2 linked regions of the Canis lupus familiaris genome follow. The protein of the gene in region 1 purifies or fractionates together with the protein of each later gene. This does not show direct contact. Links are inferred from orthologs where the notes say so. Each region holds a gene or a part of one and is shown on either strand. Other genes may lie near its edges. The genes, in order: RPS9 and CTCF.

Region 1 (4,506 bases):
TGAAAGCTCGGTTGATGATTAGCATTTGTTAGCAATAAAATATTTTTTTATTAAGATGTGTACATTGTGGTTGTTTAGACATACTGCTATTCCACACCTAATAGACCACCATATAATATGAACAGAACTTACAGATGCACTGGGAAACCAAACAATTCATTTTTCTTTTGCAACATCTGCTCTCTTGCAGGCCTAGAACTAAGACCCCAGTGTCCCCAGGGTGTGCCTGTCATCCCAGAGCCCCTGGGAGGGTAAGATGTCCAGAAAGGAGGTCAAGAAATGGTGTAAGTTCCTGCAGGTGATAAATGGCACCAAGGGGGAGGCCAACAGGTAGCAAGAACTTTTTTCTTTTTTTGCTGTTAGAAATCTTGTTAAAACTTACAATTTGTATTGGCTTTCAATTTGCCAACATAACACCCAGTGCTCATCCCGTCAAGTGCCCCCTCAGCGCCCGTCACCCAGTCACCCCATCCCCCTCCCGGCCTCCCCTTCCACTACCCCTTGTTCGTTTCCCAGAGTTAGGAGTCTCTCATGTTCTGTCACCCTCTAATTTTTCCCACTCATTTTCTCTCCTTTCCCTTACAATCCCTTTCACTACTTTTTATATTCCCCATATGAGTGAAACCATATAATGTTTGTCCTTCTCTGAATGACTTATTTCAGTCAGCATAATACCGTCTAGTTCCATCCACCTCGAAGCAAATGGTGGGTATTCGTCGTTTCTAATGGCTGAGGAAAATCCCATTGTATACATTGACCACAGCTTCAACCATAGCAATAAGTTTCAAAACATTTCTCCTGTCCTGGAAACCCAAAGGCAACCGCAGGCTACCCCGGCGGTTCCGGTGAATGAGGCCTGTGCTGCAGGAGGGCGACGCCCCCGGACCGGGAGCCGAAGGCACCAGGCGCGGGCCTTCAGGTGAGGCCCAACTCCTGGGATGAGGACGCCAGGGAGGTCGAACTGCAGTCCTGCCGGGACGCGAGGGTGCGGGGGGCGCGTTCGGGCAGGGCACCCATGTGCCCCCGAGGCCGGGCCTGTGCACCTGCTGCCCGACCAGGTGTGCAGCCGGGGTGCGCCCTGCTGGCTCCGGCCGTGCTTCAGCAGGACGCTCCTCCTCCGACATGAAAGCCGGCCACATCGGGGCTCAGGAACTTTCGGGGCCCCTCCTGGAAGGTCGCCAGGCCCCAGCTCCACCGAGCGGGAGCGACCGCAGCCCCGGGAGCACCGACACCAGCTCCCAACGCAGAGGCTCGCCAGCCGGACGGGTCAACTGCACCCTTCCCGGCGTGCCTGCCTGCGCGCGCTCGTCGCTCTGGCCCAACCTCTCGTCTCGAATGCTTTTTCCCGTCCGCCTACGCCTCTTCTGATTGGTGCAGGTGTGCGGCGTGCGCGCTGACGTCACCAGGCCGCGGCGTTGCTATAAAAGCGTGCTCGGGGGCCGCGTGCTTCTCTTTCTCCGGTCTGGGAGCTCACGGTAAGGAGTAGTGTGTTGTGCCCGCGGGTCAGGGGGTGGGTTGCGAGGTCGGAGACGGTCAGATGAGACTGCAGCGCGGGAGTGTGGGTTCGCTAGGGGGCCGCGTAGGCGCCGTCCACGCCCACACGGGCCCTTCTTGCCCTCCCGCGCAGGCGGACGCGCGGAGCCAACATGCCAGTGGCCCGGAGCTGGGTGTGTCGTAAGACTTATGTGACCCCTCGGAGGCCCTTCGAGAAGTCGCGCCTCGACCAGGAACTGAAACTGATCGGTGAGTAGCCTGGACCCGGCTTCCGCTTCCGGGTGAGGGGTGGGCGAGGCCGCCGCGTGCTGGCTCTGCGCCACCTGCCGGGCCCCCCGCCAGCCAGTGCCCTGTCTCCGCAGGCGAGTACGGGCTCCGGAACAAACGTGAGGTCTGGAGGGTCAAGTTTACCCTGGCCAAGATCCGCAAGGCCGCCCGGGAGCTGCTGACGCTGGACGAAAAGGACCCGCGGCGCCTGTTCGAAGGTGTGTGTGAGCGTGCACGGGCCTGTCTCCGATGAGGTGGAGATAGCAGGTCTGCATTCAGGTGTACCCCTCTCCCTTGGGTGCGTGACGAAGCAGGTTCCTTGCAGGGAGCCTGATGCAGGATTCCATCCCAGGATCATGACCTAAGCCAAAGGCAGACGCTCAGCCAGAGCTACCCAGGCATCCCTAACTGCATTCTTTTAAAGTGCTTCTTCTGAGTCGTTGGATCTGCACGGAAGCCTTACAGTGGTAGAGGGGCAGTCAGGGGCCTCTCACTGTAGTGGGACTGGGGGGCGAACTGTGGTGGGGATGGGCTGTGATTTTTAGAGGAAGCTTAGGGAACTTGGCCTACGGTTGAAATGCTACCTGTGAAAGGTAAAGGACTTTGATAACGTACTGGTTTGGAAGGAGGTAGCTTGTGTTTTATAAGTGCTTATATGGGAGTAAATTACCACACAGGTTGCTTGTTTTGCGCCAACCCCTAAAATTGGCTGCCTCAATGGCTATCCTGATGTTGCTTTGGGCCTGAGCTTAGGGAATCTTGGTTTATGGTGAAAGGCAGGAGGGGCTGGGAATAATGCCTGGTTTTTTCCTGAATTTTCGAAGTTACTAGTTTGATTTCTTTCTCAGTGTATACTTAAAAAGGAAACTTAACTTGAGTTGTCACTGTTAAGTGTGGGTGGTCTTTCATTTTCTATATTGAGGAGGACTTGAAGGCGGTTTAACATTGCAGATTCATTACCCAATTCTGAAAATTCAGGAATTCCCTCCCCTGTGGTTGCTTGCAGGGGACTTTATCCCACAGCTAGTTGAAGGTGGAGGAACTTTGTGAAGATACAGCTAGGTCAGGTCCTTGGTTGGATAAGCATTCATGTGGCGGACTGGGTGGGGTTGAGCAGCAGGTAACCCAGGAGTACTTGTGGTTCCCTGTGGCAGAAGAGGAGTGAGTTACAGGAGGTAGGCAGCACCACAGGTTGTAGGCTTTCAAGTAAATAAGGCATTTAACTCCAAGGGACAAGAAGGAGGAACCCTGGAAGCTCTGCCAGTCTATTGGAGAGTTGTCTCACTCATAGAGCCTGGGGTCCAATCCATCCCACCGAGGCCTATGACTTTGGGCAGAAAACTTCTCTGCTTGCCTGTTCAAGAGACTGACTCGTAAACCAACAGCCAACGTGTGGCGGAGGGTTCATACAGGTGTGGGCTTCATCCTATTCTCACGGCAGCCGTAAAGAAACTGGTATTGCATCCGTTTTTCAGATCAGAAACTGAGGTACTTGAGTTGCCTTGTGTCATGATGACAGGGAAAGACGTATGCGTCTGAGAATTGTCCTCATTGCTTTTACGTTTGTAAAATGTCCTGATTCTTGTTTTGGCCAAACGGAGCCCACGTGATCTTTCAGTGGTTGGACATACTCCTGTTGAAGATGCAAAGTTTATTCAGTGTGCATTGAAAATTATTTTAGTTCTTACATGTAGATAAGGCTGTTCTGGTGTTGATGGAATGCTGGCTTTCCTCAGTGTGTAGGTGGTTTAATAGTAAACAAGAAATAACGTTTGTTTCTGATGATGGTGGTCTTATTTTCCCTAGAAGTCTCTAAAGAGATTATAAAGTTTGAATTCTCATCAAGTTTGTGTTTTCTAGCATAAGAACAAAAAGGCGTAAGTGTCTTACTGGTAGGTAATCCCAATTGCCTATGAGTGTCTTTTTTGTATTAGTATTTGAATGTTACTGGGTTTTTTTTAACTAGGGTATGATGTATAGCAGTGATTTGGTATTTCTATATGCCATGAAATGATTACAATAAATCTAGTTAATTTCTGTCACAGTCTTTAAAAATGTTATTTTAGCAACTTAGCAATATTCAGTATCCTAACTGGAAGTTTATCATTTGAACACCTTGACCCATCCCCCCTGTGCCTCTGGCAACCACCATAATCTATTCTTTATGGACTTGATGTGTATTTTGGTGGTGATGATGGTTTTGTTTAGTCTCTGTATAAGCAAGATCATGGGAATTGATTTAGTCCACTTGGCACAATGTCCTCAGGGTCCATCCACGTTCTAGGTGGTGAGATTTTGTTCTTATTGTGGCTGAGGAATACCCCCACACCTCCACCCCAGTGTGTGCGTCTTACCACCTTTGTTACTTGTTCAACCATCCGTGGGCTCTCACATTGTTTGTGTCGTGGCCCTTGGAAATAATCTGCAAGGGAGCTTCTCTTCCAGTTAGCAATTTCATATCCTTTGGATAAATACCCAGAAGTATGAGATCCGTGGGTGGCTCAGCGGTTTAGTGCCTGCCTTTGGGCCCAGGGCATGATCCTGGAGACTGGGGATCCAGTCCCACATCGGGCTCCCTGCATGGAGCCTGCTTCTCCCTCTGCCTGTGTCTCTGCCTCTCTCTCTCCTCTCTCTCTCTCTCTCTCTCTCTCACAAATAAAATATTTTTAAAAAAAAATTTAAATGCCCAGAAGTGGGATTGTTGCGTGTCATCATTCTGTTTTTGTCTTTTGAGGAACCTCCGTA
Region 2 (3,811 bases), on another chromosome or scaffold:
AGGAGAACCTGAAGGGGTGCCTGGCTGGCTTGCTTAGAAGAGTATGTAACTCTTGATCTCAGGGTTGTAAGTTCAAGCCCTATATTGGGTGTAGAGATTACTTAAATTAAAAAAAAAAAACTTTAAAAACCCCACAAATATAATTGTTTAAGAAACAAAGAGTAGAGCCTGAAATTCTATGCTTCTAACAAGTTCCAGGTTATGCCATTGCTGCTAGTCCTTAGACCATGCTTTGAGAAACAAAGATATAAAACAGTGCTGTCCAACAGGGTAGCCCCATGTGACTATTGAGAATTTACAGTGTGACTAGTTCACACCAGTTGAGTAGAGTTCTCAGAACCTACCTACTTTTACCTAGAACCATTGTAGCTGTTCTGTCCCTTAAGTTAGATAGTAACTCTTTAGGGATGCCTGGCTGGCTCAGTCAGAAGAGCATGGTGACCCTTGATCTCGGGGTTATGAGTTCAATCCCCACATTGGGTATAGAAATTACTTAAGTAAATAAGCTTTGGTTTATTAAAATAGACAGTAACTCCTTGAATGCAGAACCAGCTCTTTGTAGTCTTTGTACTACCTTGTGGGTGGTCCTGACTACCAGCATGGGTATAGTGTTAAGGTACCCAAATTGGAGAAATGTTTCTCTAATAGAAGTAACAAAAGCTTTGTGTAAGACTAGGGCAAGAATACAAAACACTTTAATTTTGAATTAACCTTGTATATACTTAAGTCAAATTTTTTTGTGAATTAGATGATTGTTCAGACCCATTTTACTGTTAGGTATCTGGGTACTTTGGTATTCACAAGGCTTAAGAGCTGGAAACTGAATTGGCTCATTTTTCTTTTCCTGTTTTTTAAAATATGTTCAATTAGTTGAGTACCTACCAACCTGAGTGTAGTGCTGAGGAACAAAAACAACTTGTTAGACATGGTCCCTGTCCTCAAGGAATTGGTGGTTTCACAGAGGAGAAATAAATGAATGTCAAGTTGATGGTATGACACAGGAGGTAGTGTTGTGTGGTAGTCACTCTCAGGACCATTGGAGTCTGGATCCAAGGTCTGATTCTGATTCCAAAAAAATAGAGTGAGGAAACACTATGATGGGGTATTTTTCTAAGGTAGAATTTAGTGAAAAATAGCCAGGCCCTCTGTCAGTGTTTTTATTAATAGTTACAGGAAATGTAAAGGATTTAAACTAATTTTGTTAACAGTTCTTTAATATCATCAAATATCCAGAGTTGAAAAAAAAATCCAGAGTTGAATCTAATTGTCTCATGTCCTATTTTTTTTTACATTGTTTGTTGGTTTGAATTAGGATCCAAAGAGATCCATATGTTGTGATTGATTGCTATATTTCTTTAAAGATTTTATTTGTTTAAGAGAGAGAACACGCGCACGTGTGTGTGTGTGTGTGTGTGTGTGTGTGTGTGTGAGAGAGAGAGAGAGAGAGAGAGAGCGAGCAGGGGGAGGGGCAGAGGGGGAAGAGAGCCTCAAGCAGACTCCCTGCTGAGCGCAGAGGTCTACAGGCCTGGCTTGATCACAGGACCCTGAGATCTTGACCTGAGCTAAAATCAAGAGCTGGAGGTTCAACTGAGACATACCTAGGTGCCCCATTATTGTATTTCTTATATCTCTTTTTATCAGGGTTTCTCAACCTCAGCATTATTGACATTTGGGGGCCAATAATTCTTTGTTGTGGAGGATTGAACCTATGCATATCAGAATATTTAGTAATATATTTGGCCTCTACCCACTAGAGATGCTAGTAGCATATCTACCCCAGTATTGACAACCAGAAATGTCACAGGCCTTGCCGAATGCCCCCAGAGGCAAAGTTACCCAGGTTGAGAACCACTGATATGTAAATTCTCCCTCTATCCTTCCCATTTTTTGCCTTGGTGATTTATTTGCAGAAGAAACTGGGTAGTTAGTCCTGCATAGTTTCCTTCAGTTGGGATTACGCTGATTTCATCCCTGTAGTGTAATTTAACATACTCTGTCACCAATTTCCTGTTAATTGGTGGTTGGAGCTAGAGACTTGATTAGTTTCAGATTTTTTGTTTTTTATAATAAGACTGCTTCATAGGGGGTAGTTTGTTCTTCCATCAGGAGGCACATAATATCTGTTGTGTCTTTTTGTAATTTAACAACCATTGATTTCCTAATTAATTTGTCAGGGATCGTTTTTGTTTTAAAATGTATTTATTTTCATTTAGACAAGCTTTATTTTAAATAACAATCTGTGGAATAAATGAATGAATAGATTAATAACAAGCTGTGTTCTCCCTTATAAAGGAAGGGGAAATGGAAGGTGAGGCGGTTGAAGCCATTGTGGAAGAGTCTGAAACTTTCATTAAAGGAAAGGAAAGAAAGACTTATCAGAGACGCCGGGAAGGGGGCCAGGAAGAGGATACTTGCCACCTACCCCAGAACCAGACTGATGGGGGTGAGGTGGTCCAGGATGTCAATAGCAGTGTACAGATGGTAATGATGGAACAACTGGATCCTACCCTTCTTCAGATGAAGACTGAAGTAATGGAGGGTACAGTCGCTCCAGAAGCAGAGGCTGCTGTGGACGATACCCAGATCATAACTTTGCAGGTTGTAAATATGGAAGAACAGCCTATAAACATAGGAGAGCTTCAGCTTGTCCAAGTACCTGTTCCTGTGACTGTACCTGTTGCTACCACTTCAGTTGAGGAACTTCAGGGGGCTTATGAGAATGAAGTATCTAAAGAGGGCCTTGCAGAAAGCGAACCCATGATATGTCACACCTTACCTTTGCCTGAAGGGTTTCAAGTGGTGAAAGTAGGTGCCAATGGAGAGGTGGAGACGCTAGAGCAAGGGGAACTTCCACCTCAAGAAGATCCTAGTTGGCAAAAAGACCCAGATTATCAGCCACCAGCCAAAAAAACAAAGAAAACCAAAAAGAGCAAACTGCGTTACACAGAGGAAGGCAAAGATGTGGATGTGTCTGTCTATGATTTTGAGGAAGAACAGCAGGAGGGCCTGCTGTCAGAGGTTAATGCAGAGAAAGTAGTTGGTAACATGAAGCCTCCAAAACCAACAAAAATTAAAAAGAAAGGTAAAATGAATTTATCCATTTTACTCTCATAAAATCATTTTGGGATAAAGCAAATAAATAACATAGGGTATATGCAAATTATTTTATAGTAAGTGTTTTTTGTTTTGTTTTTTTAAGATCATGAGCTGGGTACCAGTCGTTTTAACCAGTCTAAAAGAAGTTTTTCCACACTGAGTATTTTTTAAGTCCTGAAGACAAAAAAGTAAATCTTTTAGTGGCATTGAATAATAATGATTTAACATGACTTAGATTGAATATAGTTAAAAAGGCTAATGAAGTTTATTTGTAGAAATTTAACATTCGGGTTAAACTTGCAACAAGTAAGTGTTTTGTTTTGCATATAGGTGTAAAGAAGACATTCCAGTGTGAGCTTTGCAGTTATACATGTCCACGGCGTTCAAATTTGGATCGTCACATGAAAAGTCACACTGATGAGAGACCACACAAGTGCCATCTCTGTGGCAGGGCATTCAGAACAGTCACCCTCCTGAGGAATCACCTTAACACACACACAGGTGCTGGATATGAATGTTGGGGGCTATAACATGGTAAAGGTTAAAACTTCGGTTTTAAGTATTATCTAAGCTGGTTCCCGTGGGAAGTTAAAGAATGATTTTTGTTCTTTCTTCTGCTGTAATCCTGATTTATAATAAGCAGATGAATTTATAGGTAAATGTAAAGGAATTTTTGTGGAAAATAAGCAGACTGTTTAAGGATGGTGAGCCAGAA

What was found.
Region 2: the proteins of RPS9 (region 1) and CTCF purify together in Homo sapiens (affinity purification with mass spectrometry; 3 studies listed by BioGRID and IntAct, with this or other methods). This does not show direct contact. The link is inferred for Canis lupus familiaris from reciprocal best matches to the Homo sapiens genes RPS9 and CTCF.

Annotation. Positions count from the first base shown.
Region 1 is NC_049222.1:103,746,550-103,751,055, forward strand, and holds the start of RPS9 (40S ribosomal protein S9), read left to right. Parts: upstream 1-1,431; 5' UTR 1,432-1,475; intron 1,476-1,627; 5' UTR 1,628-1,646; coding exon 1,647-1,743; intron 1,744-1,856; coding exon 1,857-1,979; intron 1,980-4,506. UniProt on the Homo sapiens protein: Component of the small ribosomal subunit. The ribosome is a large ribonucleoprotein complex responsible for the synthesis of proteins in the cell. Part of the small subunit (SSU) processome, first precursor of the small eukaryotic ribosomal subunit.
Region 2 is NC_049226.1:82,418,242-82,422,052, reverse strand, and holds part of CTCF (transcriptional repressor CTCF), read left to right. Parts: intron 1-2,292; coding exon 2,293-3,082; intron 3,083-3,426; coding exon 3,427-3,597; intron 3,598-3,811.